Canis lupus familiaris: one gene and its partners. The protein of the gene in region 2 interacts with the protein of the main gene of each other region in a biochemical or structural test. Links are inferred from orthologs where the notes say so. Each region holds a gene or a part of one and is shown on either strand. Other genes may lie near its edges.

What was found.
Region 1: of the proteins of MAPK1 (region 2) and ELK1, one has a biochemical effect on the other in vitro, tested with the Homo sapiens proteins (16 studies listed by BioGRID and IntAct, with this or other methods). The link is inferred for Canis lupus familiaris from reciprocal best matches to the Homo sapiens genes MAPK1 and ELK1.
Region 3: the proteins of MAPK1 (region 2) and HDAC6 form a complex in vitro, tested with the Homo sapiens proteins (2 studies listed by BioGRID). The link is inferred for Canis lupus familiaris from reciprocal best matches to the Homo sapiens genes MAPK1 and HDAC6.
Region 4: the proteins of MAPK1 (region 2) and TNFRSF1A form a complex in vitro, tested with the Homo sapiens proteins (2 studies listed by BioGRID, with this or other methods). The link is inferred for Canis lupus familiaris from reciprocal best matches to the Homo sapiens genes MAPK1 and TNFRSF1A.
Region 5: of the proteins of MAPK1 (region 2) and SREBF2, one has a biochemical effect on the other in vitro, tested with the Homo sapiens proteins (2 studies listed by BioGRID). The link is inferred for Canis lupus familiaris from reciprocal best matches to the Homo sapiens genes MAPK1 and SREBF2.
Region 6: of the proteins of MAPK1 (region 2) and SMAD1, one has a biochemical effect on the other in vitro, tested with the Homo sapiens proteins (3 studies listed by BioGRID). The link is inferred for Canis lupus familiaris from reciprocal best matches to the Homo sapiens genes MAPK1 and SMAD1.
Region 7: of the proteins of MAPK1 (region 2) and MBP, one has a biochemical effect on the other in vitro, tested with the Homo sapiens proteins (16 studies listed by BioGRID and IntAct). The link is inferred for Canis lupus familiaris from reciprocal best matches to the Homo sapiens genes MAPK1 and MBP.

Annotation. Positions count from the first base shown.
Region 1 is NC_049260.1:41,469,853-41,474,414, reverse strand, and holds the start of ELK1 (ETS domain-containing protein Elk-1), read left to right. Parts: upstream 1-1,359; 5' UTR 1,360-1,509; intron 1,510-4,562. Other genes in the region: protein UXT, read left to right, coding at 79-132. UniProt on the Homo sapiens protein: Transcription factor that binds to purine-rich DNA sequences. Forms a ternary complex with SRF and the ETS and SRF motifs of the serum response element (SRE) on the promoter region of immediate early genes such as FOS and IER2.
Region 2 is NC_049247.1:31,299,723-31,304,420, forward strand, and holds the start of MAPK1 (mitogen-activated protein kinase 1), read right to left. Parts: upstream 2,905-4,698; 5' UTR 2,721-2,904; coding exon 2,602-2,720; intron 1-2,601. UniProt on the Homo sapiens protein: Serine/threonine kinase which acts as an essential component of the MAP kinase signal transduction pathway. MAPK1/ERK2 and MAPK3/ERK1 are the 2 MAPKs which play an important role in the MAPK/ERK cascade.
Region 3 is NC_049260.1:42,212,316-42,216,394, forward strand, and holds part of HDAC6 (histone deacetylase 6), read left to right. Parts: intron 1-78; coding exon 79-119; intron 120-802; coding exon 803-914; intron 915-1,045; coding exon 1,046-1,143; intron 1,144-1,987; exon of another isoform or gene 1,988-2,099; intron 2,100-2,308; coding exon 2,309-2,413; intron 2,414-2,538; coding exon 2,539-2,607; intron 2,608-4,079.
Region 4 is NC_049248.1:7,447,623-7,452,348, forward strand, and holds the start of TNFRSF1A (tumor necrosis factor receptor superfamily member 1A), read right to left. Parts: upstream 3,161-4,726; 5' UTR 3,103-3,160; coding exon 2,989-3,102; intron 1-2,988.
Region 5 is NC_049231.1:24,437,709-24,441,787, reverse strand, and holds part of SREBF2 (sterol regulatory element-binding protein 2), read left to right. Parts: intron 1-1,165; coding exon 1,166-1,387; intron 1,388-3,050; coding exon 3,051-3,165; intron 3,166-3,386; coding exon 3,387-3,568; intron 3,569-4,079.
Region 6 is NC_049236.1:44,445,214-44,449,292, forward strand, and holds part of SMAD1 (mothers against decapentaplegic homolog 1), read left to right. Parts: intron 1-1,975; coding exon 1,976-2,233; intron 2,234-4,079. UniProt on the Homo sapiens protein: Transcriptional modulator that plays a role in various cellular processes, including embryonic development, cell differentiation, and tissue homeostasis.
Region 7 is NC_049222.1:2,889,925-2,894,003, forward strand, and holds part of MBP (myelin basic protein), read left to right. Parts: intron 1-2,047; coding exon 2,048-2,484; intron 2,485-4,079. UniProt on the Homo sapiens protein: The classic group of MBP isoforms (isoform 4-isoform 14) are with PLP the most abundant protein components of the myelin membrane in the CNS. They have a role in both its formation and stabilization.

The DNA of each region.
Region 1 (4,562 bases), on a different chromosome or scaffold from region 2:
TGAGGGAGGGGAGGTCAGAGCAAGCCTGGGCTGAGGCCTAGACAATCTCTGTTCAATCTCTTCTATCCTTTTTTTCAGGGGCTTAGAGAACTACAAGGCCTGCAGAATTTCCCGGAGACACCTCACTATTGACTTCTTCCCGCCTCCGTAGACATTAAAGAGCCTGAATGCCTTTGAGTCACATGGCCCTTCTTTCCCCACCTCAACCCTTTGCTGTTTGCTAAGGTGCCCTGTTTCTAAAGCACAAAGTTACCAGGAACCCCAGAGAGCCAGTCTCTATGTGGAACCTTTAAAGCACCCCTGAAGTCCCGCCTCCAGCCTGTTGCCTGGCAGCATTTGCCACTTGACTTTCTGCACTGCCCTCTTTTCTGTCGCCTTGGAAACCTGGGCCTCCCACCTGACCCTTTTATCTTCCTGGACGTAACTGTCTTAATCATAGAGAATGGGCTGATTCAGGGTGGAGGTTTGTTCCCAAGACAATCAGCCTTTCATTCCTGGCCCTAAAGTTTGCCCCTCTCCCCCACCCTAATCATTACTGGGGTACCTTAGATTACACCCACGCCCGTCTCATTCCAACCTTGGCCTCACCCGGCTTCTAACTAATTTCAGCTTCCACCAATGGGCGCAGAGCCTGATCCCGCCCTACCCCGGCCGGCCCCTATTTTAGGTTGAGTCTAGCTTCCGCCAATCATTGCAGAGCCAGGTTCCGCCCCCTTATAACTGGCTGAGGCTCAACGCTGACCTCCTCGTAGGCTTTAGTTTCCGCCACTCAACGCTCCTTTGCGTGCCTGGCCGCTGTCCAACCCTATCTCTGCTCTGTCCTAAACTCGTCTTTTCTACCCAATCACGATAGAGTTATCCTCCCACCTACGCACAGTCCTGGCCCGACCCCCTCCCAGCCTGCCGCTACGCCCACTTCCATATAAGTCCCGCTTCCGCTGAGCAGCGTGGAGTGCAGCACCGCCCAGTTGGTGTTTTGGCAGCTGTCTGGAGTCCCTAGTCCGCCAATCAGTAGAAAGCAGAGTCCATCCGCCCCTATCCTCGGAGGCCGTCTTCCATGCAGGCCAATTATTATCAGGCAGGCGCCCCCAGAATCTTGTCAATCGCCCACAGGCTGTCAGCCTTGGGCCAATCAGCGTGAAGCGCCAGCGGGGCCCAGCACGCCCCCTCGGAACCCAGGCGGCTATCTGCGTTCCATCAGTTCTCCTCGGGCCAATCATGGCCTAGCTCTGCGGGGCAGGGCCCGCCTCCCCAACCCTGGAAGCCGCGCGGTCGAGCCAAGGCGCTGTGTCCAATCAACCAGCCGCGGAATGCTCGGCTCCTCCTCCAGGGGCCCACGTGAGCCGTGAGGAAACGCAGGGGCGGCTTCTAGGTGCCGCCGCCGCCGCCGCCGCCACCGCCGCCACCGCCGCCACCGCCACCTCGGAGCCCGGGCCTGGGGGGCGGTGGGGCTGCGCATGGAGCCCCCGCCCCCCGGAGCTGCCAATACTGCCACTGCGCTACACACAGGTGAGCCCGGGGCCTGGAGGGTGGAGGGCCCGTCCGTGACCCCACGTATCCTTCCCGCCCCCGCGCGAGGGATGTGGCTTGGCCCATGGCCTGCTGGTGTTCAACTGCCCACCGCCACCGCCACGGCTGGTGGACCTGCCTGTGGTATTGTCCCCTCCCTTCGCCCCTTGTAGTCGATCTGACCGTGGCCTGACCCCCCTTCCTGTTTTATAATGGATCGGTCTGCGTGCTTATAGTTCTCCCCACCCCACCTTACAGTGGACTCGTCCGTGGTCCTGCCCCGCCCCCACCCCCACTTAGAGGGGAGCAGCCTCGGGCATTGTCCCTCCTTGACAGAAGGTGCATCTGACTGTTTATTTTCTCCTGTCCTCAACTTTCAAGGGCCCCGTCTGTGGCCTTGTAGTTCTGTTCCTTGTAGTGAATCAGTCCATGGCGTGTTGCACCCCCCCCGCACCCCCTTTAACAGTGAGTTAATCTGTGAAGTTGTATTCCTGCCTCCTCCAGTCCCCCAGTGCATCAGTCCCATGGTTTTATCTTTTACAGTGTATCGGTCTGAATGCTAGTATCCACATCCCTTGTCGTTATCAGCCCATTGCCCTAGCCTCTTTTTTTTTTTTTTTTTTCAGACTGTTTCTCCAGCCCTTGGGCTTCTCTCTTCCTTTTAATAGTGGGTCAGTTTCGTGTTTTTGAACTCCCCATTTTCAGTAGCTCATTCCATGGCCTTGTTCCCTTCTCCTTTTAATGAGTCCGTGTGATGGCATTTCACCCCATCTACTCTTGTGCAGAGTAGATGCCTTTCTGCTCCCCTTGCCCCCCATAAAGAAGATGAGCCTTTGCACTCCCCTCCACCCCCGCCTTTGCAGTGGATCTGTTCATTGGCCTTCTTGTTCCCCATGTGCTTGCATCCAGGCACACACCCCCATACCCTCCCCTGAGTCCAGTGCTTTGTAATCTCTTCTCCAGGAGGGTGCTTTTATTTTGTCCCTCCTTTCCTTGTGGTGGATCAGTCCATGGCCTTCCCTGCTTCCTCTCTTCTTAATGGTGGATCATCCTGTGTGCTTGTTGAACCTGGCTCTTTTTTACTCTAGAACACATCCCCCTCGTACACATCATTAATCCCTAAGACATTCTGCCTCACTGCAATAAACGGATGCATTCAAGATAGCGATAATGCCATTAGGAGCTAACGTTTATTGAGCACCTACTAGGTACCTGGCAAAGTGCTTTATATCCATGACCTCATTTCGTCCTCACCACAATCCTGTGAGACAGGTACTCAGGAAAGTTCGGCACAAGGGGCTCAATACGTTATTCAGAGGTAAGTACCCAGTTAGGTTGCCCCTCAGAACACAGAATAATTTTTGAGGATCCCCTTTCTCACTTCATCCCATGCCACATGAGACCCCACTCCTTAAAAAACAAAGCACCTCCCGTCTCCAAGCTTTTGTTTTTGCTAGTTTCCCCCCCGCCTGCAGAGCTGTCTCCATTCCACACTTTTTCTCAGCACCCATCCACCCGCAATCGCAGCAGCCATATGATCTGAGTGATTTAACCACTTTCTCTCCGCACCTGCTTCCTCATTTGTAAAATGGAGGCATCAAAACCAGAATCCCCTCCAGTGTGAACATATCTGAGAGTTAATAAGACAAGTAACCTCTCTGGCTGCACCTCCTGCACCTTGTCCCTCCGACTCTGTTCCAGCCATACAAAGCTCCTCACTCATCCTCAAATCAAACACGCCAGATACAGCCCAGCCTGAGGGCCTGTGCATTGGCTATATTTTCTACCTGGAATAACGTCGTTCCCCTGATCTGTATGTGAGTCCTTTCAGAGCTCTATTCAAATGTCAGCCTGCCCCTGATCATCTGAACCTACATACTTAACAGGACTCAGGTTCCTTCTCTGCAGTAGTGGTCCCCTTTGCCCTTCATCACTATCAGACACACTGTGTAGTTTACCAGTTCACTGTCCCTCCCCATTAGAACAGTCAGTCCAATGAGGGTTTAGTTTTTTTGTCTGCTTATTTACTGCTGGGTAAATATACTTAGTATATACTAGGTGCTCAATAAGAATTTGTTGCATGCATGAAGGTGAAAAATATTATTTCAGACAAATCAGGGTGCAAGGGGAGGGAAGGGTTGGAGATGAAGAGGGTATACGAAAACTAGCTAAAGAAACTAGTTGGGACTGTTCGTTCAGCAAACACTTAGCACCTACTGAGTACCAGGCACTCTTCTAGGTGCTGGGGATATGGGAAGGAACAGAACAGGCAGAAATTCCTGCCCTTGTGGAGCAGACGTTTGCTAAAAGTGGGGGAGACGGACTATATAAATAAAACAGTAAGTAAAATTAGATAGTATGTTAGGCGCTAAGGAGGAAAGTGAAGTCGGGAAGACAGGGAGAGAGTACGGGAGTGATTGAAATCTTGGGCACTGGGCAGGCCTCACTTAGAAGGTGACCCTTGAGTTAAGGCCTGAAGGAGATCAGGGAGGAAGACAAAATATCTAGGGGAAGAGTGTTCTGGAGGTGGAAGGAACAGCCAGTGCAAAGGCCCTGAGGTGGGACTGTGCCTAGTGCATTCAAGAAACGTGAAGGAGGCCAGTGTGGCTGGAGCAGAGCAGAGGGCGGGAGGGAGGCAGGCAGGCAGGCAGGCAAGCAAGCAGGAGGCAAGGTCAGAGCGGTGATGGGACCCAGATGGTATAGGCCATGGTGATACATAAGGTTGGAGGCTGGTGGGAGGGTGAAGGCTGATAGACAAGCTAAGAGCTAACTAACATTTGTCGAGTGCCTACCACATGCCAGAGATACTTTTCTAAGTCCTTTATATATATTGACACTAGATCCTCGCAAAAGCCATTAAGAATAGTATATTTTGAAGATATTTTACAGATGCAGAAACAGACCCAGAGAGGTTGAGTAACTTGCTCAAGGTTGCACAGCTAGAACAAGGCAGAGGAGTGGGAGACCAAAGGCCCAGAGAGAACAGATCTGCAAGAGCAGACAGTTTATTCAGCACACAGATCACACAGAGGAAGGATTCATTCTGTCTAGAA
Region 2 (4,698 bases):
ATCAAGTCCCACATCGGGCTCCTGCAGGGAAGCCTGCTTCTCTCTCTGCCTGTGTCTCTGCCTCTATGTCTGTGTCTCTCATGAATGAATAAAATATTTTTTAAAATAAATAAATATTAACATTTCATTCAAGAAGCCCTCCATAAACCCAGCATTCTTTTTTTTTTTTTTAATTTTTATTTATTTATGATAGTCACAGAGAGAGAGAGAGAGAGGCAGAGACACAGGCAGAGGAAGAAGCAGGCTCCATGCACCGGGAGCCCGATGTGGGATTCGATCCCGGGTCTCCAGGATCGCGCCCTGGGCCAAAGGCAGGTGCCAAACCGCTGCGCCACCCAGGGATCCCTAAACCCAGCATTCTTAATCAACACTTATTAAACACTAATGATGTGCAACATAAATTACATTCTTACTAAGGTAAGGATTAAAAACTATAATCTGGACCAAGGATTTTAATTCCAGTTGTACTTGTATTTGGATTTTAGGAAAGGAAGATTACTGTAAAAGTACTTGGCATCTTCCCTAATAAAGACTTGGAAGGTCAAATATGTCTACAGCAATGACAGAAATAGTTACCCTGGGATCCCTGGGTGGCGCAGTGGTTTGGCGCCTGCCTTTGGCCCAGGGCGCGATCCTGGAGACCCGGGATCGAATCCCACGTCAGGCTCCCGGTGCATGGAGCCTGCTTCTCCCTCTGCCTGTGTCTCTGCCTCTCTCTCTCTCTCTCTCTGTGTGACTGTCATAAATAAGTAAATAAAAATATTAAAAAAAAAAAGAAATAGTTACCCTATCTTACTTATCTTCAAACTAGTAATAATCTCATCGGGGGGAAAAAAAACTTTCAATTAAAGTAACCTAAACCTAAAAAAAAAAAAAAAAATTAAAAATTTAAAAATAAAAAAAAATAGTATCCTAAACCTAAAGTTTTTTCAGTCCATATGTTAGATGCTAAATTTTCAAAAAGAGCCATGGGACATGATGGACAATTCTGAACCTCTCATGACACATGCCTACTTACCAGCAGGTGTCATAGCAATCAGATGTTATGACAGAGAAGTGATGCTGTGGGCAGTACTTTCTAGGGCCTTATTTCTTTTAGACCTGACCTAGTTTAATTCTTCTTTTGGCTCCTAAACCTGAGTTCACGTTAATTTTCACAGTTGTATATGTGAAGCATTTTGCTCCTCAAGAGAATGAAAATAGTCAAGATTCAATTAGTCTTTTTAAAATTTAATTAGTCTAAAATACTTGTTAAAACAGGCCCTTTATGGCATTTCTAAAATCACAATCACTTAAATTTGAATACATTTTTAAAACAGATTTGCTTACAACAGTAAAATATACCAAACTCTAAAGCTACTAATAACACTATTTAAAGACAAAATATAACTGAAAGAGCTCCAGCAAATGAGAGAGGATCTCAGTCTATCATCTCAAGTCTGTCTCTTCTAGACGTAGGACTTGAAGAATTTGCTCCACCTCGAAATATTTTCTCCCCTGAAAGAGGGATATCACCACCTCGAAGGTGGCTGTTCATATAAAATGAGATAATATACCTAGTACAGTACCTGCCACCAAGTGTTCCGTAAATATGTTTGCTTCCTTCATTCAACTCAAAACACACAAGAAAGAGGTGTAAGGGAGCCCACGCTTCCGTAAGTCCTCATCAGCACAAAATAATACAGCTAATTCTAATAAAAAGAACCAAGAACGTTTCTGAGGGATATGATCAAGATAAGGGAGGCTGCACGTAGTCCTGCAAGAATTCCATTAAGGCTGCACATATACTGACCACTAAAACATCATTAACAGCTCAAGTCCACAACAATTCTGCTAAAACGTGTGAATACATTTACGCCAAGAGAGTTCACTAGGGGTAAAGAAAAAAGTGAAATTAAGCCCAACTCCAAATGACTAATAAATCAACCAAGAGAGCGGTGCAGGCTTATCCTTCTTGAAACGCATACAGTGTGGGTATTAAAATCCATTTTAAAACTTCAAGATTAAAATATTTCACAACCCACAGCGGTGCCACTGATGCTTTTTACGGACAGCCTGCGCGGGGCACCGTTAGCACGACCGAAAATATTTAATGAAAGCCGTTCGCGGAATACCGGGGAGGGGAGAAGATTATTTCAGGTTCTGCACACAAGACCGCGGCCAACACCACCACCGACGAGCATCCGATGGAATTCCTGGCTCTACAGTCGGGATGTCAAGAGGAAGGCCAAGATGCTAGCATCATGGGGGCCGGGGGCGGGGGCCCGGGGACCACTTCCGTTCCCCTCCCGGGGGTCCCGGCTCTAAAACCCGCGCCGCGCCCGGATCCCCGGGTCCCCGGACACTGGCCTCCGCCCCCCGAGCCCCTCCCCTCGGCGAGCGGAGGCCGGCCCGCGAAGCGCAGTGAGCAACACCCAAACCTCCAGCGGCCCCCGGGCCCCGCCCGAGGCCCCCGGCGCCCACTCCGCGCGGAAGCCACGGGCTGGGGGCGCGGCGGCGCGGGAGGCCGGGACGCAGACGAGGCCGCGGCTGCGTCCGCCGCGTCTCCGGGCGGCGGGTGGGCGGGCGTGGCGCGGCCTGCGGACAGGCGCCGACACTCACCACACCATGCCGTAGGCGCCCTCGCCGATGTAGGAGAGGTTGGTGTAGCGCGGCCCCACGTCGAACACCTGCCCGCGGACCATCTCCGGGCCCGCGCCCGCCGCCGCCGCCGCCGCCATGTTGGCTGCCGGGCCGCCGCCGCCGCCGCCGCGAAAGGCTCGACGCTCCGCGGCCGCCGCTCGGCCCACGCCGCGCCTCCCGGGGGGACTGCGCCGCTGCGGGTGCAGCTGCCGACGCTGATCGGAAAGGAGCAAGGAGGGCAGCGCTCAGGACCGCGGGAGAGACTACGGCCGCTCGGACCGACTGCCTGCCTGCCTGACTGACGGGCGGGCCGGCGGGCGGCGGGAGGGGCGCGCGCCGAGGAGGGCGCCGGGGCGGGGCCAAGGAGCGTGCGCGCGGATTGGTTCCCCGCCGCCTGGGGGCGGGGCTGCGCGGGCCGGCGGAAGCGGCAGGTCGGGGCGGGGCACTGCGGCGGCGGCGGCGGCGGAGTCACCGCCCTGCCTGGTCACGTGCGCCCGCGGGGGTGTTGGCGCGGGATGCGGGCTCCGAGACGCAGAAGGACGGCAGGGCGTCGGGACGGGGATGGGGGCCGCGGGCCTGAGAAACTTTCCGGGCGAGGCGAGCCCCGGAGCGGGGCGCTGACTGGGCCGGGGCACGACCTGGGGCCGCGCGTGCGGCATGCCGACGCTCCGCACACCTCCGCGGGCCCGCGCGACCCCGTGGCCCACGCACACACCGAGGCCTCCAGACGCGGCCAGGAAAATGAAAGGCAGGACCGAGACCACGGAAGATATTTGCATACTGAGAAAGTGTGAAACACAAAGCCTCCAGCGAGAGGCTCAGGATCCGCTAATCAGACACCTTCCTTCCACCAGTGTTTGGTGAGCAGCTGCATTGTTCCTGGGCATCCACATTCTAGAGTGAGGAGATAACCCGGTGGGTAGATGAGACAGGAAGGAAGAGAGGTAAAGAATACTCAAGTAGTGGGACCCCGGGATGGCTCGGTGGTTGAGCGTCTGCCCTTGGCCCAGGGCGTGACCCCGGGGTCCTGGGATCGAGTCCCGCACCGGGCTCCCTGCATGGAGCCTGCTTCTCTCTTGCCTGTGTCTCTGCCTCTCTCTCTGTGTCTCTCATGAATAAATGAATAAAATCTTAAGTGCCAGGAAGAAATACAAAGCCGACTGAGGGGTTGGGGTTAGTGGAGAAAGACAGAGTCAGAGACTGAGACCCACGTCAGTACAGGTAGACAATCTTAGGACATAAAAAACAAATGCAAAGATGGAAACACCAAAACCAAAACGTTAAGATCTAGAGAAAATGAGACAAACACACCGAGGCCCTGAAGTACTCACAAACGCCAGAGGTTGAAAATTTAAAATCAGAATCCTAAAGCAGGTGAATACCAGGAATAGCTAAGACAAATGAGACAGGAGTGCTAACAGCCACTGCTTCTGAGCATTTCCCAGGCCATCTTTGGAGGGGAAGTAAGGATGCAAGATCCTACATCCCAGTTCTCCAACACTGTGATCTTGAAAGCCCTCAACTCTGGACTTCTAGACGTCAGCAAAGTTTAGTCAATCTCAGAGGTGAATAAGCAAATATTTAAAAACCTGCTAGCAGGACGTCTGGGTGGTTCAGTGGTGGAGCCGCTGCCTTTGGCTCAGGGTGCGATCCTGGAGACCGGGGATTGAGTCCCGCACAGAGCCTGCTTCTCCTCCCTCTGCCTATGTCTCTGCCTCTCATTGGGTCTCTCATGAATGAATAAATACAATCTTTAAAAATTAAAAAAAAAAAAACCTGCTAGGAAAAAAAAAATACGTGGCATGGGAAATAAGACAAAGTTCTAGAGGCAAAAAATTCTCCTTTGAAATATATTTAGTCCACCAAGCAGAATCCAGTTTTAGAGGACACCTAATTTTTATTCTTTAAGATTTTATTTATTCATGAGAGACACAGAGAGAGAGAGAGAGAGAGAGAGAGAGGCAGAGACACAGGCAAGAGAGAAGCAGGCTCCACGCAGGGAGCCCGATGCAGGATTTGATCCCTGGATTCCAGGATCACGCCCCCTGGATTCCAGGATCACTCCCTGGCCTGAAG
Region 3 (4,079 bases), on a different chromosome or scaffold from region 2:
ACCCTGGGTGGTGGGCAGGAGCTGGCAGAGCCTGGGTGCGGCCAATGCCTTAACCCTTTATTCCTTGTGTCTCTCCAGGCTCGGTTTGCTGAAAAGGAGGAGCTGATGTTGGTTCACAGGTGAAGGCTTCAGGGCCTTGTAGCGGTGGGGAGGAGGCCACCCTGGGCCAACCAGGGCAGGCCGCATTCTCTGGGAAGGAATGTCCTAGGCCTTGTGGCCTTGAGCAAGTTGCTGAGTCTCTGAATCTGAGCGTCCTCGCCTATCACACGGGAACTTGTAAACAGAAGTTCCTCAGGAGGCTCCGAGATGTGTTGAGTGCTTAGAGTGGTGTCTGCCATGTCATCAGCCCACAATAGGCTGTTGGTATTACAACCTAGTGTGTAAACAGAGGATGGACATGTGGAGAGTGATTGGAGGTTCCTCCATGGGCTGTAGGAACCCAGAGTGAGGGCCCTGGTGTGATGTGATTCAAGGAGAACTAGCTTGGCAGAGGGGCTGTCTGAGCTGAGAAAGAGTGAGTCAGATGAAGAGGAAAGCTGAGGGAAGGGAGGTACAGACAGCTACAACAGTGTGGCCAATGGCCTGGGGGTAGGATTTATTCTGGCTAGAGCAGAGAGCAAGGGATATTACTGGAAATGAGGCTGGCTGGGGAAGAATCAGGAAACATGTCCTGTATCCCAGCTGATCCCTCAGATTGACAGTTGAGGGGGCCTGTCTTGACCAGGGCTCAGAAGGGACAGCCCTGACTCAGGCCCAGGAGGGAGGCAAATCCTTGAATCTCATCTCCTGTCTGTGTCCCCAGCCTAGAATACATTGATCTGATGGAGACGACCCAGTATATGAATGAGGGAGAGCTCCGCATCCTAGCTGACACCTATGACTCAGTTTATCTGCATCCGGTATGGATAAGAACTGTAAGAGCAGAGGGTGGTGGCAATCCTAGGGTTTCCCATCCCCATGCCCACCACATCCTGGGGAGGAGTAGTGGAGTGGACAGGGCTGCTCTCTCCCTTACTCCCTCTCTGGATCCCCACTGTCTTTTCAGAACTCCTATACTTGTGCCTGCCTGGCCTCAGGCTCTGTCCTTAGGCTGGTGGATGCAGTCCTGAGGAACGAGATCCGGAATGGCATGGCCATTGTCAGGTAGGACCCACCGGCATTTGGCTGTTTTATATTTTAAAAAATTCCTTCTCTCGAATGTAAAATGTATTGGTATGGGTGGTATATTCATATGGTTCAAGAGTCAAAAGATACAAGAGGGGATACCAAAAAATCTCCTACCCTCATCCCTCAGAGACCTGCTTTCTCTCCTGGAGGTAGCCATTGTAACCAATGACTCATGTGTGCACCCAGAAACATTCTGTGTTTATTCGTGGAGTAAATGCCATATTTTATCAATGCTGAAATCTGTATTTTACCATCTTGAAAACCAGACTCATCTTGCAAACAGTGGCGTCTTAGAATTCATTTAGCAGTGTTTTCTGTTTTGTTGTTGGCATGTGAAATCACTATACATCTTCACGTTGTTGGCATCCCAAAATTGATGAAATGCAGAAGATACAGCCTTTCTCCTCCCCCTTTTTTTAGCCACAAAAGGTGGTAGCACTCAATATGCTCCCTTCCGTACCATGCATTTTTCACTTCTATGTCTTGGAAAGCTTTTCTCGAACAGTGCATGCCTTAGATCTGCGTAGAACGACACTGTGCAAATGCACAGGAAGTTAACCAGCCCCCTAGAAATGGGCGTTTTGGTTCTCCCCAGTCATTTGCTGTTTCCAAAACATGTCACAGCAAATACCATTATCCATTTAGAAACATTGTTATTTCACCCTTTATATTTTGTGGGCTGTGGGCTAAGTCCCCGGGAACAGAATGGCTGTGAGGGTGTGTGCACTGATCACTTTTATTTTACTTATTTTAAAAATTTTAATTCCAGTATAGTTAACATGCAGTGTTACATTAGTTTCAGGTGTACAATATAGTGAAAAAAAACATGGAACACTTTACAAATTTTTGCGTCACCCTTGCACAGTGGCCATGCTAATCCTCTCCCTCTCCCTCTGCCTACATTTTAGTATATGTGCTGCCAGAGGGAGCATTACACGTTGATAACTTTAACGAACATTATGCAATTTCCTTTGGGTAGAGAGCAGTAGATGGGGTGAAGGTCTGGGGGCCCCAGGTACTCAGTTCCTGACAGATTTGTAACCAGAGGAGTTGGTGGTCTAGAATTGGAACACAGGGGAGAGTCTGCCTCTGTAGAGGAGGACCCCCACCCCCAATCTGTGGCCTTCCCTGTCCTGCCCAGGCCTCCTGGACACCACGCCCAGCACAGCCTTATGGATGGGTATTGCATGTTCAACCATGTGGCCGTGGCTGCCCGCTACGCTCAACAGAAGCATAACATTGAGAGGTCAGCAGCAAGCAGGGGGGCGGGGGTGGTGGGGGTGGCACAGGGTAGGGTATCCTGGTCTGGGCCCTTCCGCCAGATGCACCTTGATCCTCTTACATAGTACCCCACCTCTGTCATCCTCACAGGGTCCTTATCGTGGATTGGGATGTACACCATGGTCAAGGAACACAGTTTACCTTTGACCAGGACCCCAGGTATGCCCTGAGTGCTGCCTTAGATGCTAGACTTCCAGCCACCCCCGCATCCTTACAGGCCCAGCCAGGAGCCTAGGCAGGAACGGAAGGCATTCACATTCATCAGGCCCACCTTAGAACCCAGTTCTGTGTAGCTCTCTACATTGCCTTCTTTCTTGCTTAATTTCACTGTGAGGCAGGGTCCGCTGGCTTCCCCATTTTACAGATGGGGGAACTGAGGCTTACAGCTCACACGGTCATACAGAGTAGTGGGAGAGATGAGATTTGAGCCCACAGATGTTTGAAGACCTTGTTCACAAGTTTCCCTCGGAACTGGAGTGAACTTCAAATTACGGGTTTATTTTTCTGATTCTGACTACTGCAAAATATTTAATGAAATTGAACAACATTGGGGCACTTAAGTGGCTCAGTCGGTAAGGTGTCTGCCTTAGGCCCAGGTCATGATCCCAGGATCCTGGGATCAAGCCCCATGTCGGGCTCCTTGCTCAGTGGGGAGCCTGCTTCTCCTTCTCCCTCTGCATACTACTATGCTTATACTTTTTTTTTCTGTCAAATAAATAAAGTCTTTTTTAAAAATTCCAGCAGGATTTTAAAAAAAGCAAAGATAATTGAGCAATACAGAAATGTCTAAAACAGTGAGTCTCCTGGAATTCCTGCCACTTCCAAATAACTTACTGATAGTGTCAGTTATATTCTTACAGAATTTTTTCTTTAGATGGATGAATATTTAGTATGGTCATTAATGCACCCCCTAATGGGATGTTGCTTTCTGTGTTCTTCGGCAATTTGCTTTTTGCATTTAACAACGTGTCCTGGGCACCTCTCCACATTAATGCCTCTAAAGAACACCTTGGTCTTTGCAAGGAGCGTTCAGTATCCCGTTGTATAGCTGTATCTCTGGTCATTTAACCCTCGGACATTTATGGTGCTTTCCAGTTTTTGCTATAACAGACAGTTCTACAGTGGAAATATATCATTTTATATTATCTTAAAATCTGTAATTTAGAAAGATGTAACTTTGCATTCCTTTGTACACGTATAGGATGTACACATATAGGATGAATTTCCAAGTGTGGATTGCTGGGTCAGAGGGTCAATGGGCTTTCAAATCTGGGGTCTCCTGCCAGACTTCCCTCCTGAAATGTGGCACCAGCTTACCCTTCCTGTGGAAAGTGATTGAGCAAATCCTCGTCAGTAGGGACACTAAGTGTTGTTTTATTCAACCTTCTATCAAATCAACTGCATAGAATCCCCTTTTTCCCCCACAGATCCCAAGTTCCCATGGCCTATTATTTAATCTAGGTTGGCAGTTCTCTGAACATTGCTTTATTATTATGTAGCATTCAATGTTGCTGACAGGTGTCTGACTTTTATTTCTTTCTGAGTAATCCATTTCCCTCTCCAAAGATATCACTTTCTTCTTTCTATCCCTGTGTTCTGAACTTTCATCCCGGCCTCTTCATTCCCCTTAG
Region 4 (4,726 bases), on a different chromosome or scaffold from region 2:
CAGTTCACCTCATCAGTCCTTCTTCGGAGGACAGGATCTCTTGGTCCTGTCCGTATCCATGGGCTGCCTCACTCTTAGATTATTGCAACTGTCTCCCCGCTGACTGCCCAGCTGCCAGCCTCTTTCCTGCTCCAATCCATCCTACACACTTTCTTATCTGTGTTCATGCTTCAACTTGCACCCACAGGTTGGATGGGAATCTTCCTCTCCAGAGCCTGACCTCAAACATCATTTCCACAGGTCACTCCTTCCCTGAATGAGTACTTGCAGAGGCACCTCACTACTATTCTGAACATGTTCCCAGATGCCATGGGCCCTCAGAAAACTGTGTCTGAATGAATGAATGAATGAATGAATGAATGAATGAATGAATGAATTCCTCTACCTGGGACCACACTCAAGATTCTCCTTCATCCCCTCCCCAACACCCTTCAATTTTCTCATTTCTTCTTGTTCTTCAACATGCTCCTTCCACTTCCAGCAACAACGTTCAGCTTCCTGCCACCACCAACCCCAACACAAAACCCCACCTCTCCATTCCCCTACTCTCCCTCAAACCAGTCTCCCTTTTTTCTAGGCATTTTTCCAATGAGTGACTTCGAATCTCAGCTCCAAATCCACTTATCTGTGAGGTTTTTCTCTTCCTCATTCATCTGACCAATGCCTGTTCCTTGATTCATTCAACAAAGAGTTAGGAAGCACCATCTAGGCACCAGGTCCCATATGGCTTCTAGGGGTTTAGAGCGAATACACAGCCCACGCTGTCAAGTTCTCAGCTGGGTCAGAGACAATCCACTGTAGGCTCTGCACTCTAGGCAGAGGGTGCTCCTGGAGCCCCGACACCACGGTTGAGGTCTGCTAAGCAAGAAAAGGCAGCTCATTCCCTTCCCTGGTCTGTCTCCCATTGGTGTTCCAGGGCACCGCATCAAAACACTTTTGTGGGTCTTCCCCTCCAGACTGTTCTGAAATCTTTTTTTTTTTTTTTTTTTTTTTTTTGCTGTAAGATGTCTTACAGACCATAAGCTCTTTGAGGCACAACAAAACCCTATAAGCTTTACTACCCTCTCTCCAGTATTCTTCCCCCTATCCACCCACACACGGTATACTAGAGTGCTCAGTATTAATGGTGAACAATTGAAAAGCTCAGACTTTGCATATCTTCTGTTTCCCCTCCAGCTCCAGGCTTAGCTTGGGTCCCTTCACAGTCACACTCCCACATGGGCTGGAGCCTCCTCCCCAGCCCCCAGACGCTTTCCTTTATCAATTCAGACTACCCATACCCTATGTTTTCCAAACACAGTAGCCACCAAGTAATTACTACTAATACTAACAATACAAATCTAACATTTATTGTTTTCTATTTGCTATACCTTATTCGTCTACTAGACTGTAGACTCCATGGGGGCAGAGATTTTGCTTGCTACTGTAATCCCACTTAAAATAATGTCTAGCACAGACCCAGCATTTAATAAGTTGAATACTTAATACATAGTTGACCCTTGAACAATGCAGGTGTTAGGAGCACCAGCCCGCCCCACTTAGTGAAAAGTCTACATATAATTTTTGACTCCTCTAAAACATAACTACAAATACCCTACTGTTGACTGGATGTCTTACCAATAGCATAAACAATGGATTAGCACACATTTTGCATGTTATGTGTATCGTATGCTGTATTCTTACAATAAAGAAGGCTGGAGAAATGAAAATGTTATTAAGAAAATCAGGGATCCCTGGGTGGCGCAGCAGTTTGGCGCCTGCCTTTGGCCCAGGGCGCGATCCTGGAGACCCGGGATCGAATCCCACATCAGGCTCCCTGCATGGAGCCTGCTTCTCCCTCTGCCTGTGTCTCTGCCTCTCTCTCTCTCTCTGTATGACTATCATAAATAAATAATAATAAAAAATGTTTAAAAAAAAAAAGAAAATCATAAAAATAAAATATACTTATAATACTGTATGTAGTGGGAAAAAACCTGCATATAAGTGGAACGGCATGGTTCAAACCCATGTTGTTCAAAGGTCAACTGTCTCTCAATCTATTTCATCTTCGAAATGACATTATGAGGTTGTGATTATTACCTACATTTTAGAAATAAAGAAGCTAAGACGTGGAAGCCACCCAGGTTCAGGTGGCTAGTCTGTGAGGGAGCTAGGATTTGAATCCAAGGGATCTACCCCCAAAAGAGAGAAGAGAAGTAAAGTAAGCCCAGGCCACTGGATGGGGGCAGAGGGAGCCTGGGAGAAGTACAGTCTTGAGAGAAGTCAAGAGACAGGGGGCTGGGGAGACAGGAGGTGGGACAGTGAAAAGAACAGTGAGACCCAGATGGAGACAGGTGCTGCCTGGGGAATCAGAGTCTAGAAATGTGGACTCAGCAGAGAAGAGAGGGAGGAACCAGGGAAAAAAGTCTCAAAAGAGACTCATGGAGAAACCGACAGAAAAGGAGTGAATGCTTAGGAGAGACAGGACAAGATCCAGAGGAGAGGAGAGTGCGGGGAGGACGTGGGCCAGGGAAGGGCAAGGACCCCGAAGAAACGGGCCAGTGCAGGCCAGGAACATCCACCCAGGTAGGGGGAGAGAGGAACCCAGGGTATGGCACAGGAGATCAAGGAAGCATTGAAACAAGGCTGAGGCATAAGAAAGGGACATTTTCCAGTGACGAAAACAACTTTCTACTAACTTCCCTAAACCCAGCTGTAAAAGAAGAAACCAAGAGATTGTTGTCCAGGCCTGAGGGGAGGGGGCTGGAAGGGCCAGGACCCAGGGGGCACAGGGCCAGGACCAGGTGGAGGTGGTGCTGGCTGCTAGAGAGGGTCCCCAGTCCAACACAGGCCACCCATCTAAAAGCTGAGCCAGAGGCACAGTGTGGGGAGCGCCTCCAGGTGGGCGTCCTGGCTCTCCACGGGGTTGCCCTGCCCCTGTCCAGTTCCCACCGGACACCCAAATACCCGCCTCCACACAGACACACAGACGCAGCATCCCAAACTTACCCACCAATCCATCTCTGCTCCCGGCCTCAGTTTCCCCCTTTCCCTAGCATCCAGCTCCTCCCCTCCGCCGGGGTCCGCGCTGGCCAGCGGATGGAGGACACCACTCCGAACCATCTGGCCTCCGAGAGGCAGAGGGCTGGCCGGCCTTCCCGCACTCCTTCCCTCACTCTCCCGAATCGGCCCCACCCCTCCCTCAGCGAGCACCTGCCCCCACATTCCCAGCCAATCCCTAGCCCCAGCTGACTTCCTTGGCTGGCCTTGGCTGGCCTTTCACCCTCTCCCTTGCCTCCGACTCAGGGCCGCCGGCCGACTGGGGAACCCCAGCTCCCGGCCGCGCTGGAAGTGGGGCCACGCCGGCCCGAGGTCCGGACGGGCGGCGAGGGCCCACTCCTGCGGGGCGGCGCCCTCTCCACCCGCCCCTACCCCGCACCCCCAGCCCTCGTCCCGTCCCGGGGCTCACCAGTGGCAGCAGCAGGCCAGGCACGGTGGGGAGGCCCATGTCCGGCCAGCCGTGGCCTCTCACTCCCCCATCGGGGCTCAGGCAGGGGCGGCGGCGGGGTCCGGGATGCGCGGGCCCGGCGGGTCCCAAGAGGAGCCCGGGCGGCGGGCAGGGGAGCCCGGGTGCGGACTGGAGAGACGGTCCCGGGACCTCCAACCCCAAAGGCCAGAGCTGGAGGCTGAGTCCCGAGAACTGGGAGAAAATTAAAGCAGAGAGCAGAGAGAAGGTGGGAGGGAAGGGAGAGAGTGGCAGATGGGGTGTCGCAACTGCGGGACAGGAAGAGCCTGGGGGAGGAGGAGGGAGGAGGCGGGGGAGGGGGGGCGAAGGGCTGTAACCCTTTGGAGCTCAGTCGGAGGCGCCTGCAGCCCTGGCTCTGGCGGCAGCCTGGGGCCCCCAGCCCAGCAATCCGACCCCTCCAGCCCCGACCGGAGGAGCGAACAGCCCCCCACCCCACCCACCCAAGACCTTTCCCACGTGACCAGCAGTAGACTGGCTCAGGGCTTTGGAATCTAATTCACTGGGTTCCAGTTCAGAATCCTCTACTTTTTTAGCTGTCTGGTCCTGGACCAACGACCTACAGACAGCCTGTGAGTCTGTTTTTCAGTTTCCCAGTTGGAGAGAACCTAGCTCGTGGGGTGGCTGTGAAGATTTCCTGAGACAGGTGTCTGACCTGTGACAGGCACTCAGCGGTCCGTAGTAAGTCCTCCCTTTGCTCCAGAGTTCTCCACTGACACCCTAATCTCCCACTCTCTTGGGTATTTATCCCTCCAACCCAGACTCAAAGTAAACGCTAACCCTGGCTTTCTGCCCTGACTGGGGCCCTGACACCCTCCCACCAGTCTGGTGCTCATCTACTCTGCCTGGCCAGGGCCCCCAGCTGCTGATGCTGGCTCTGCCACAAAAAGTTGAGGGACTTTCGGCAAAACCTCCACCAAGCCTCATTTATTTATTTATTTTTAAGATTTTATTTATTTATTCATGAGAGACACAGAGAGAGAGGCAGAGGGAGAAGCAGGCTCTCTACCTGGAGCCTGATGTGGGACTCGATCCCAGGACCCCAGGATCACGACCTGAACCAAAGGCAGAAGTTCAACGACTGCGTCACCCAGGTGCCCCACCAAGCCTCATTTATTAGGTGAGGGTAACATTGCCTGGCCCACCTACATGGGGAAGATGATGTCATAAGGATTAATGAGATCATATCTGTGAAAATGCTTTGGAAATTACAGCTATCTGGAT
Region 5 (4,079 bases), on a different chromosome or scaffold from region 2:
TTGACTTCTGAGGGACCCTACACCCATCAGGCAGGGAGGGGCTATAAGTTGAGGGACACGGAAGGCCCCCATCCTTGGGTTGCAGGGTCACAGCCACTTTGGTATGTTATGGCAAGAGAGTCTGATAGAGTAATAGGTGATCAAAATTTGAAAGTAAGCTTTATTCATAAGAGCCAAGAACTGGAAATAACACATGTACAAAAAGAACTATTGATACATATGACTGCTGAACCTCAAAAATAGTATGTTGGGCAAAAGATGCCTATCACAAAAGAGTTCATGCTGATGATTGCATTTATATGAAGTTTTAAAAGAGGCCAAACTAAGCTGTGGTGATAGAGGTCAGAGCAGTGATCACAGAGGGGGAAGGGGCAGACAGAACTGGAAAGAGGCACAAGAGAACTTTCTAAGGGGATAGGAATCGTCTGTGTCTTGGTCTGGGTTATCTTGGTTACATACATTATATCCCTATGTAAAAATGTATCAAGCTATATACTTAAAATGTGTATTTTTTTATTATGTGAGAATTATTTCTTAGTGATTAATGAAGTTGGGTGGTTTTTTATTTGTTCGTTAGCCATTTGGATATTGAAGCCATTTTTTGAAAATAAAGCTAAAATGAGTAAAAAATAGAAACAGAGAGGGGAAAGCAGAGTTGAGGAAAGAGGAGCCTCTACAGTTGGCCTGTTTACTCAGTAGAATGGCTCTATCGGTTCTGCTCTTGTGCTTGTTGATGGCCAAATTATATAAGGAAAGGCAGCAAGTGGTTTTACCGTCATGTGAGAGGAAGAGATGTATCCTACACCAGGAGAAACTGCCTTGGAGCCAGAATGATATGGTACATTTTATGCGAGCTCAGAGGTGGCTAAATGGTTTGACACCAAAGCAGAAATCATAATCTTTCAAGTACCCTGAGACCAAAGGTTAAAATATATTTACCCACATTAATCCTATTGTGGTGTGATTTGTTGACAGCGGTTCTGAATGGGGCTTAGTAACTCAGATACTGTGGCTCCTGAGGTTTCTTGGGGCCTGAGTTAATCCAGCCAAGAAGGGCATCAGACCGGGCAAGGCCACATGGCCAAGGCTGCAGGTTTGTGTTCTGGGATTGCTTCATTCAGACTAACCATGGGCTAATTCTGCTCTGTGTCTGTGCCTGTTCTAGACTCTTGTGGGCAGCAATGGAACCATTTTGACCACAATGCCTGTGATGATGGGGCAAGAGAAAGTGCCCATCAAGCAGGTGCCTGGGGGAGTCAAGCAGCTGGAGCCCCCCAAAGAAGGAGAGAGGCGGACGACACACAACATCATTGAGAAGCGGTATCGTTCCTCTATTAATGACAAAATCATTGAGTTGAAGGACCTGGTCATGGGGACAGATGCCAAGGTGGGTGCCAAGCATTACGGTATTTCATGGGCCATCATCTCCCCATCTACCTATCTTTGCCTTAGGAATTTAGGAAAACCCAGGTCCAAGTGAGTGAATGTAAGGATGGTTAGAGGTGCTTTCTTTCTGTAGCATCTTGGGGTTTTTTCAAGATTATACAATATTAACCAACATAAGGGAACTGTTGGGTTTGGGAAGGTAGCAACCTGGCTGGACCTTTGACTCTGCTCTGTGGTGATGATGGATCCCAGGACCCCAGGTGGAGGGCTGCCTACTGCTCACTGGCAGTCAGGTGCAGATTGTATGTACCTTGGAATCAGCTGGTGGTGTTGCTGGCATATGTTTAATTGTGTTCATGGGTGGTTAGCAATATTTTTACCTTGCAGGGAAGAAAGAAAATGGAGATCAGGTCTTTAACCAACAGCAAATAGAGGGAATAGATTGTTCATTATTTTGAGTTTTTCAGTGAATGTGTCTTCTGTCACATAGTTTATTTGTTTTTGTGTTTTACCTATTTATCTTCATCATCTCTTATTTTATTTTATTTTATTTATAAATTTTATTAAAGATTTTATTTATTTATTCATGGCAGAGAGAGAGAGAGAAGTAGGCTCCATGCAGGGAACCCAACGTGGGACTCGATCCCAGGTCTCCAAGATCACACCCCAAGCGCTAAACCGCTGAGCCACCGGGGCTGCCCTATCATCTCTATTTTAAAAGAAAATTTGATTTTCCTCATAGCCTATAGATCTGAAATGTGCTAACATAACTTAAGATGGCTATCCAACAGTGCTCCGGTTTTTTGTCAGTTGTTTTCTTTAAAGTTTGTTTTGGTTCTAGGATTATTATAAGAAAGAGGAGTACTAGGGACTCCTGGGTGGCTCAGCGGTTGGGCATCTGTCTTCAGCTCAGGCCGTGATCCTGGGGTCCTAGGATTGAGTCCCACATCGGGCTCCCTGCATGGAGCCTGCTTCTCCCTCTGCCTGTGTCTCTGCCTCTGTGTGTGTCTGTGTGTGTCTGTGTGTGTGTGTGTGTGTGTGTGTCTCTTGAATAAATAAATAAATCTTAAAAAAAAAAAAAAAAAAAAAGAGGGATCCCTGGGTGGTGCAGCGGTTTGGCGCCTGCCTTTGGCCCAGGGCGCAATCCTGGAGATCCGGGATTGAATCCCACGTCGGGCTCCACCGGGAGCCTGCTTCTCCCTCTACCTATGTCTCTGCCTCTCTCTCTCTCTCTCTCTCTCTGTGTGACTATCATAAATTAAAAAAAAAAAAAATAATAATAATAATAGAAAGAAAGAAAGAAAGAAAGAAAGAAAGAAAGAAAGAAAGAAAGAAAGAAAGAAAGAAAAGAAAAAAGAAAAAAGAAAAGAGGAGTGACAATATTTATTTATTGTCACTATGTACCAGATCGGGGGCTACTCTCTGTACATGTATTATCTCATTTTACCCTCACTACAAGTTCATGATTCATGTATCATCATTATCCTCATTTTAAGGAGGTTCAGAGATGCTGAGTAACTTGTCCTGGGTAGCACAGCTAACCAGTGATTGAGCCCAGCATCTCAGTCCGGAGCCATGCTTTCACCCCATGAGCTCTGGCCTCCCCACTCTCATTGTGCCACCTGCAGTGATGCCACTGTGTTTTTACCTGGCTTCCTTCCCAGATGCACAAGTCTGGTGTTCTGAGGAAGGCCATTGACTACATCAAGTACTTGCAGCAAGTCAATCATAAACTACGCCAGGAGAACATGGTGCTGAAGCTGGCAAATCAGAAAAACAGTGAGTGTGTGCTCATTGAGAGAAGGGTTATCAGGCCTTCTGGTTGTAGAAGTTCTATGCTAGGCACTGGGGAGAGCCCACGGATGCTGTGTACAAGGTACCTTTGGGGGTGAAGCAGAAGCAAGGACCATGTGCCCCTTACCCAGCTCAGCCCTGGTCCAGGCACCCAGGCGGGGGCTCTTTACAAACAGACTGTTTGCCAGATGTGGTTTTCTTTGCAGAGCTCCTGAAGGGCATCGACCTAGGCAGCCTGGTGGACAATGATGTGGAGCTAAAGATTGAAGACTTCAATCAGAATATCCTTCTGATGTCCCCTCCGGCCTCTGACTCAGGGTCCCAGGCTGGTTTCTCCCCCTACTCCATCGACTCCGAGCCAGGAAGCCCTCTGTTGGATGATGCAAAGGTATGAGCTTTTGAAATCCTCTGATCCCTGGAATCTCTCCCATATCTCCTAAGTTAACTGTGGAGAAGCTGCCGATAGGGAGGCAGGCCAGGTGTTGAGAGGACTGGGGCAGGAGAATAGGAATTCTGTGAAATTAGGTCCTACTGTGTCCCCCACAAAATCCACTTAACTGGTTCAGTGTAGTCCAGTTTAACTGGTCCTTGCTGAAAGAGCCCATCTGAGAGGAATAAGGGCCAGATCCAGAATGGGAACACACAGCAGCTGTCATGCGGGTGCTAGGAGTTGCCGGAGGCGCCTCATTACATCCCTCACTCATAATGGGCCTGGCAAGACCATTTTTTGATGTTGCTCGGTTGGTTTAGGGCAAGGCTGCCTCTGGGCCCTCTTCTGGAAATGATTACAGTTTCCAGTCTAACAAATAACATTCCAGCCAAGGGCCTTTCATCGTCAAAGAAAGCCCCTGGCAATTGTGGTTTAATGGAATTAGCCAATAGAGGCTCAAGCCTAATGA
Region 6 (4,079 bases), on a different chromosome or scaffold from region 2:
TATTGGTGTTCAGTTTACCAACATACAGAATAACACCCAGTGCTCATCCCGTCAAGTGCCCCCTCAGTGCCCGTCACCCATTCATCCCCACCCCCCGCCCTCCTCCCCTTCCATCACCCCTAGTTCGTTTCCCAGAGTTAGGAGTCTTCATGTTCTGTCTCCCTTTCTGATATTTCCCACACATTTCTTCTCCCTTCCCTTATATTCCCTTTCACTATTATTTATATTCCCCAAATGAATGAGAACATATAATGTTTGTCCTTCTCCGATTGACTTACTTCACTCAGCATAATACCTTCCAGTTCCATCCACATTGAAGCAAATGGTGGGTATTTGTCATTTCTAATGGCTGAGTAATATTCCATTGTATACATAAACCACACCTTCTTTGTCCATTCATCTTTCGATGGACACCGAGGCTCCTTCCACAGTTTGGCTATTGTGGACATTGCTGCTATAAACATCGGGGTGCAGGTGTCTCGGCGTTTCATTGCATCTGAATCTTTGGGGTAAATCCCCAACAGTGCAATTGCTGGGTCATAGGGCAGGTCTATTTTTAACTCTTTGAGGAACCTCCACACAGTTTAACAGAGTGGCTGCACCAGTTCACATTCCCACCAACAGTGTAAGAGGGTTCCCTTTTCTCCACATCCTCTCGAGAGAATATATTCTAACTCCCAACAACAATAGCAGATTTTAAATCTCCTCCTTTTTCCTCGTGCAGATTTCCAAATGGGTGGTTTTTCTAGCCAAGGCCATGAGAGTAGTAGGGATTCTGACGGCCTTCCTTCCTGGGGAGTCCGTTTGGAGACTGTAGTGGGGAGTTGAGGATCTAACCCAGTTAGGGCTTCTTAGCCAGGCCTTCACTTTAATAAGCATCATAACTTATAGTGGCTTTGCCTCTAGAGGTTTCTGGAGGTTGCAAACCATGCTAATTATTAACTCCTTAGGTTCCTAACATACAGAGCTTTTTAGGAGTGACTTGAGCTGCTTTCTTTCATTCTCCAGTGGTGTGGATGTTTTTGACCTTTATACCTTGAGTATCCAGTTAGCAAAATGTGAATTGTATGACCCGTTTCTTCCTTTCCCTGTCAGGTAGTTCTGAGGGTTACTGAGAAGTGGGTTAAATGCATTAATATCCTCAGAGAAAAAATTTTTTGTGAAGTATGACTACTTGGACACAACATAAAGTCTGTCCCCAAGATGTTGTATTTTGTCTAATTAACTACCTTTATTGGCATTTGGATTTTTTGCTGCTGGCTGTATTTATCCTCTCCTTGTTAGTATACTGGGCCTCCTTTTGTTGTAAAGTGTCAATTTAAAACATTTGTGATGAATAATTCATACCATTCAATAAATATTAACTCTTTAAATGTAACGTCTTTTCAGGCAGCCCTGGTGGCTCAGCGGTTTAGCGCTGCCTTCAGCCCAGGGCCTGATCCTGGAGACCCAGGATCGAGTCCCATGTCAGGCTCACTGCATAGAGCCTGCTTCTCTCTCTGCCTGTGTCTCTGCCTCTCTCTCTTCTCCCTCATGACAAATAAATAAATAAATAAATAAATAAATAAATGAATGAATGAATGAATGTAACGTCTTTTCAACGGGGGCTGTAAACGTGGTACTGTTGATGGTGGCATATGTTAATTGTGCTTTGGTTTTCAGTGAATGAAAAAATTCAGAAGCGGGAACCTTAACATTTTGAACATAACAAGTGTCCTGCACTTTTCTTGGGCAGTTTGTTAGTGCTACAGATCTCGAGCACAAGTCACAGCAATTCTAAAGAGACTATTTGTTACCGCATTTATTCCTGAGTAGAAAATGGCTTTGCATCTGAATGATGCTTTTGAGCTGGCAGCAGGGCAGGGTTCAGATAATTTATTGTTACTTACAGATTATGTTTCTGCTCTACTGTGACGTTATTACAGATTTTCATCATTTTCATGTTTGTCTTTCTCTTTTCTTTCCCTTTTTCCAGTTCTTCCTCCAGTGCTGGTTCCAAGACACAGCGAATATAATCCTCAGCACAGCCTGTTAGCTCAGTTCCGTAACTTAGGACAAAACGAGCCTCACATGCCGCTCAACGCCACTTTTCCAGATTCTTTCCAGCAACCCAACAGCCATCCATTCCCTCACTCCCCTAGTAGCAGCTACCCCAACTCTCCTGGAAGCAGCAGTGGTACCTACCCGCACTCGCCCACCAGCTCAGACCCAGGAAGCCCTTTCCAGATGCCAGGTAGGTTGAAATGTTCAGTGATTTTCCAGTCAGGTAGATGGTGCTGCTGCCTCTGCAAGCATCAGTGGGAGCTGGGTACACCTGCCTACCCGAGAGCTCTTCAGCTCTAGTACCTGGTGCTCTGCTCTTGGTTGCAAGATACTGCTGTGGCTGAAGGGAGACCTCGTAGTCAAGGAAGCAAATGTCCTATTTTATTTGCCAGGCATAGATGCTTGAATATATTTTATTTTCTATTTTGAAGGGTTTTGAAACAGCTGCATCCTTCTGGGAGTGGCATAATTGTTACAGTCTTTGCTCTTGATAAAAGAAAGAGAAAAATAATGTGTTGCACACATTTGCCGAAAATGGAAAAAGCCCTGTTGTAAGTGCAATCTCAGAAAAGATACTTCCTGAGGGATCACACCCCACCCCCCACACTTAATCAAATTCATTTAAGTGGTGATGTAATCCCAAGAAACATATACTTTAGCAACAAAGGAAATGCAGCAGAAGTACTGGAGACCATCTGCTTGTTTAACTTAGCAAAGACAAAAACAATTATCTTCCTTTTTTAGACTTAACTGATGGTGTAATGTTTATCAAAATAAATGATTAATTAGGGCATTATATTTTTCAGATTATAGGTTAGTAAGCAAGCATCTCACAAAAAAAAAAATAATTAGTGCCAAATTTCTTGCTAGTAGACCTCAAGGAGCATACTCTACACAAAGATGTACTTAACACTGATTAACATTTCAAGAAGGGAAATGCGCGGGCAAGCCTGTTTATTAGGCCACTTGAGATGTTTTTAAGTAAATGTGAATTTGACAACAGTGCTGGGTATGTCCTAAAAAATTGAAAAGAGGTACATACTTGATAGTGCTATCTTTTATTTATTTATTACTTCTTTTTTTTTTTTTTTTTTTTTGAGCCTTTTATTCTGCAGCATTTTGTTTTTCCATCCAAAACTGTTTAGGATGAGGCAGGGCATTGAGAATACAGACTAGTTTAAAAATCAAACTAAATATCATCTGATGATTTCTTATTCATCCCACTGTCTCCCAGACCCATCGGGTTTGGTGAACCAGGTTAGTGATGAAGAGACAGTTCCAGAAGCTTTTGAGCAGTGGCAAACCCAGGGTAGGCCCAAAAATGAAAAACTGGAAGATTTTTGCTTGAGTTTACACTCTGTCCCTGGCTGTGAAGGAATAAGGCACAAGCCAAATAAAGGAAATGTGGAAGAGAGAAAGCTGCCAGGGGTGGGAAAAGGCACTTGTGGGAAAAGTAGAGTATCACCCATAGCTATGCAGTAGTGTTGTTGCCATAGGGTGCTGGTGATATTCTCACCAGCTCATTTGCAGAAATTTACTGGATTTGGTCTCGCAGGATGCTCTTTGTCTTCATTCCTGGCTGCAAGTAAAGCAGAGTCGGTGTTACAGCTGCAGGGAAGAAGCTGGAGACAGGGTGACAGAAGCATCCAGATTAAGATCCCCTTAGTCCTGTCTTTGTGCTGTGAGCCCTCACTTGTTAGCAGCTGGACAGTGGAAGTTACTGGGTTGCGACTCAGCTGGAGAGTCAGTCTTGGAAATCTCTAAAAAACTGTAAAGGAGCAGCAATATCAGCCATTTTTGTATTCCCCAGTTGCCCTTAGGGATCTAGGCTACTTATCCAAGTTATTCATGGTTCCCTAAGGTAAAGCTTTGTTCCCTGCTCTGTCACGTGTGCTAGATGGGCTCACAATAGCCAGTGAAGCACTTGCTTTTTGATCACAAAGGATTATTTGTGGGCAACCCGTACCCCTTATTTAACTTAAGAAAACACAAGACCTATATTAGTGTTCTTTGTTTCAGAAGTCATGCTGTTTGCC
Region 7 (4,079 bases), on a different chromosome or scaffold from region 2:
GCCTCTCGTTCCCCCCACCCCTGTCCCCGCTGCTGACCTCACACTGGCCTCTCCTTCACACCAGGCCCTCCAGCTCCAGACCTTTCTACTTCTCCCTGCCAGACCCGCGCTGGGTGCCCACCCCTTGGCAGAGGCCCTCAGCTCCGCCCCAGTGTGTACGTTGACCCCTCACGCCATCCCTCAGGGGCCCCTGAAGCCCCTTATCCTGCTCTGTTGTCTTTTCTATCACAGGTTGATAGGAAATTATACATAGTAGTTGTGTCCTGTGGCTGCAACAACAAAGTACCACAACCTGGGTGATTTAAAACAACAGGAATTTCTTCTCTCAAAGTCTGGAGGCCGGGAATCTGAAACCAAGGTGTCAGCAGGGCTGTGCTCTCGCCACCAGCTCTAGGGGAGGACCTGTGCCCTGTCTCTTACCTTCGGGTGTTCCCACGTCACTCCCGTCCCTGCCACCATCCCAAGGTCCCTTCCCTGTGTGTCTGCGTCTGTATCTTTTTATATCCCTTTTGTATCTCCCTCTTTTTATACAGACACCAGCCAGTCACTTGGTTAGGCCCACCCTCAGCCAGGACGACCTCATCTTACCTGGATTATATCCACAAAAGATCCTATTTCCAAATAAGTTTACATTCACAGGGACTGAGACTTAGGATGGGGACCTGCCTTTTTGGGGGATACTTCATTTCCTAATATTCATTTCCATTAATGTTTATGAGACAAGGACCACATCTTTTTCATCACTGCAGCCCAAACATTTAGCTCAGTATATGATGGTTATTAAGTGCTCCATAAATAATGAATGGGTGGCCAGGTGGATGGATGGGTGGCTGAGTTGGTGGTTGGGTGTGTGAGTGGATGGTTGGGTGGGTGGATGGATGGTTGGGCTGTTGGGTGGGTGGTTGGCTGGGGGTGGGTGGATAGATGATTGGACAGCTGGGTGAGTGGGTAGTTGGGCAGGTGGATGGATGGTTGGGGGGCTGGGTGGGTGGGCGGGCAGATGGATGGGTGATTGGGTGGGTAGGTGGAAAGATGTGCAGCTGACTGGGTGGAGGGTTAGCTGGGTGGACAGGTCAGTGACTGGATCAGTAGCTGGATTGGTAGGTAGGTGGCTCAGCAGATAAATGGGCAAGTGGGTGCTGTTGCTGGTAAATGTCAGTGAACAGATTGGTGCTGGTTGGGTGGATGGATGGATGGATGGATGGATGATATTAGAGGAAAGCATGAGTAAACCCACATTTTCTATAGATATGTAATGAAGGGGGGAGTGAAGTAGGGTGGACATACCCTCAAACCTAACTTGTAACTTGAGAGCAAAATGGGTGTGTTGCCATTCTGGAAGGAAATGCGGTATTTTCCCGTACATGTGTGAAAGCTGGGAGAAGGTCATATGGCTCACAGAATACGCCATTCCCACTTCACACTTTGTAACTGGGGCTGCTTGCAGAAGAAAAGCCAAATTAAAATACCCTGAATAAGCAATTCTCTAATGCAAGAGGCCTCTTGTGGAATCTGGAAACTCAAGGATTCTAAATGCCCCATTTCTTTAGGGCATGAATTGCAAAAAGATGTGGGAAGTTCCATTTTTATCGAGAACACTGAAAATACCTTTGATCAAACCACTGCTCCCAACACGCTTAGCTTGTGCACCAGTGGAGTTGGAGGGATTCGATGTCCCACAGAGGCGCCTGCAGCCCTGGCCCCTCCACGCCCAGCAGCAGCAGCGGCGGCGCCCAGGGGTGACTGCTGTGTCTGCTTGGGCCTCCTCAGCAGGAAGCTGGGGTACGCTTTATCTAGGGCACCAGGTGTCGAGTAACTGAGGCAGCCCCTGGGGTTCCCCGAGACAAGACCTGCAAGTAGGACGCTCAGTCCAGGTTGGGTCCCACCACGAGTGATCTGGGGCTACCAGGTAGCTTGACGGCCCCGGGCGCGCATGCATTCTGTGGGTTTGGTAGGACACAAGCAGGTCCCCAGCCCTGGAAGAAAGCCGCATTGTCCCTCACTCTGCTTTGCACGGCCCGTGTTCATATCTCACTGTTGTTTGCAGGGGAGGCAGATGTGGAGCAGAACAATGGGACCCCCTCTCAGGACACAGCGGTGACAGACTCCAAGCGCACAGCAGACCCAAAGAATGCCTGGCAGGACGCCAACCCAGCTGACCCAGGGGGCCGCCCCCACTTGATCCGCCTCTTTTCCCGAGATGCCCCGGGGAGGGAGGACAACACCTTCAAAGACAGGCCCTCGGAGTCAGACGAGCTCCAGACCATCCAAGAGGACAGCGCAGCCACTCCCGAGGGCCTGGATGTGATGGCGTCACAGAAAAGACCCTCCCAGAGGCACGGATCCAAGTACCTGGCCTCAGCAAGCGCCATGGATCACGCCAGGCATGGCTTCCTCCCGAGGCACAGAGACACGGGCATCCTTGACTCCCTCGGGCGCTTCTTTGGCGGTGACAGGGGTGTGCCCAAGCGGGGCTCAGGCAAGGTGAGCTCTGAGGAGTAACTAGGGGCGCACACCACGTGTGTCCACTTTAGTTGACAAGGAAAAGGAAGGAGAGTGAGCAGGTGAGCTAAGCCCCAGCGGGGATGCTGTCCCGCTACTGTCTGTCCTCGCTGGCGACGCTCACGGGCCACAGGCGCGGGCGGGGGGCGGGGGGCCGGGTTGCTGCTTTGCCGCATTTCCACACAGCTCAGCCTCTCTCCCCTCCTCACAGGGGATGCCGGGACATCCTGAATTCCGCATCCGTAGGGGGGCCCGGCACGGGCACCGCGTTCTCGGGTCACCGGCATCTCACGCTTGGGGGCTTGGGGGCTGATTCGCTTCTGCGCCCGCGCTTTTGGGTTCGACGTCGCATTGTGCTCACTTTTCTTGGTGTCAGCGCTGCTAGCTTCGCGTTGTCTTGTAGCTTCGCGTTGTCTCGGAACAATCATGCGATTGAGGACTTTTGAACAAACTCAAGATTGAAATTCGCCTTGAGCAGATATGTCTTTTATCTGAGTTATTGAGGGGCAAGGGGTGGAGGGATCCTTGAGAGTGCCTATGAATCAAAACTGTATTACTTTGTTATTCCATTAATTTGAATAGAGAATCTGTGAGCTCTCATTATGTAATTATGTAAATGTTCTGTAGATAAAAATTGTATTGCAAGGGAAAAAGCTCCCATTGTTCCCGAGTTTCCAGCAGTGGCTCCCGGAGTCGGTGTGAATGGGGCATCTGTGGTGACATCCCATCAGGGAGCTGAGTCCCGAGTGGCTTTGCCGTAGCAAGCACATAGAGTGCTGTATGCCTTTTCCGGGTGTTGCCTGGCTGGGTCATTGTGGAAGCAGAGGGTCTTTTGGGGAAAGCCCGGGTTTATTGGCTGTGCTCACAAAACACCTAAGTTGTCACTTTTCCTCTGGCTGCGTGCGTATCATGCTGACTCTGAAAGTCTTGGGAATGTAAAGAGGCTTCTGACCTGTGGTTTCTAAAGGGGTCTCTAAAACTTGCTCAGTCTCTAACTACAGAATTTAGAATTACTGCTGATTGTGAAATCGTTGAGCGATTTGTGTTTAAACAAAGGCAGTTTTGCCACGTTGGAATTAGGGGACATGGCGGCACAGGAGCTGGGGATGTCGCAGGTGCTGGTCGTGAGGTCCCCAGCATCTGCCCCCAGGTGCCATCACTCACATGTCACTGGTCATGCCTTCTCGTGACTAACATTTGGCGCGTCTTAAGTGCTGACAGCGTTCACCTTCTGCTTGGTCCTTTCAGTGTCTGTGTTTGTAGACATTTGCTTTTCCTTTTGGGCAGTCTTGTGTCACCCCAAAATGTTGGGCATCTGACCTATTTCCAATGTTGATTTCAGTCCGAGGTGCTTTTTCAGAGCACGGCTATCAAGCCACACCAGACCCTGGCTGCCTGTTGAGTCTTGCTGTTACTCTAAGTGCTCCACATGCATGCAGCACCACCAGTCCGAAAGCTTAAGCTACTCTGCGTAACTCAAGGAACAGGAAAAATAGAATTACACTGGGCAGAAAAGATTAAATTGCTGTATAGCACATATTACAAAACAGGCTTCATTTCAGTGGTGATGCTCTAAG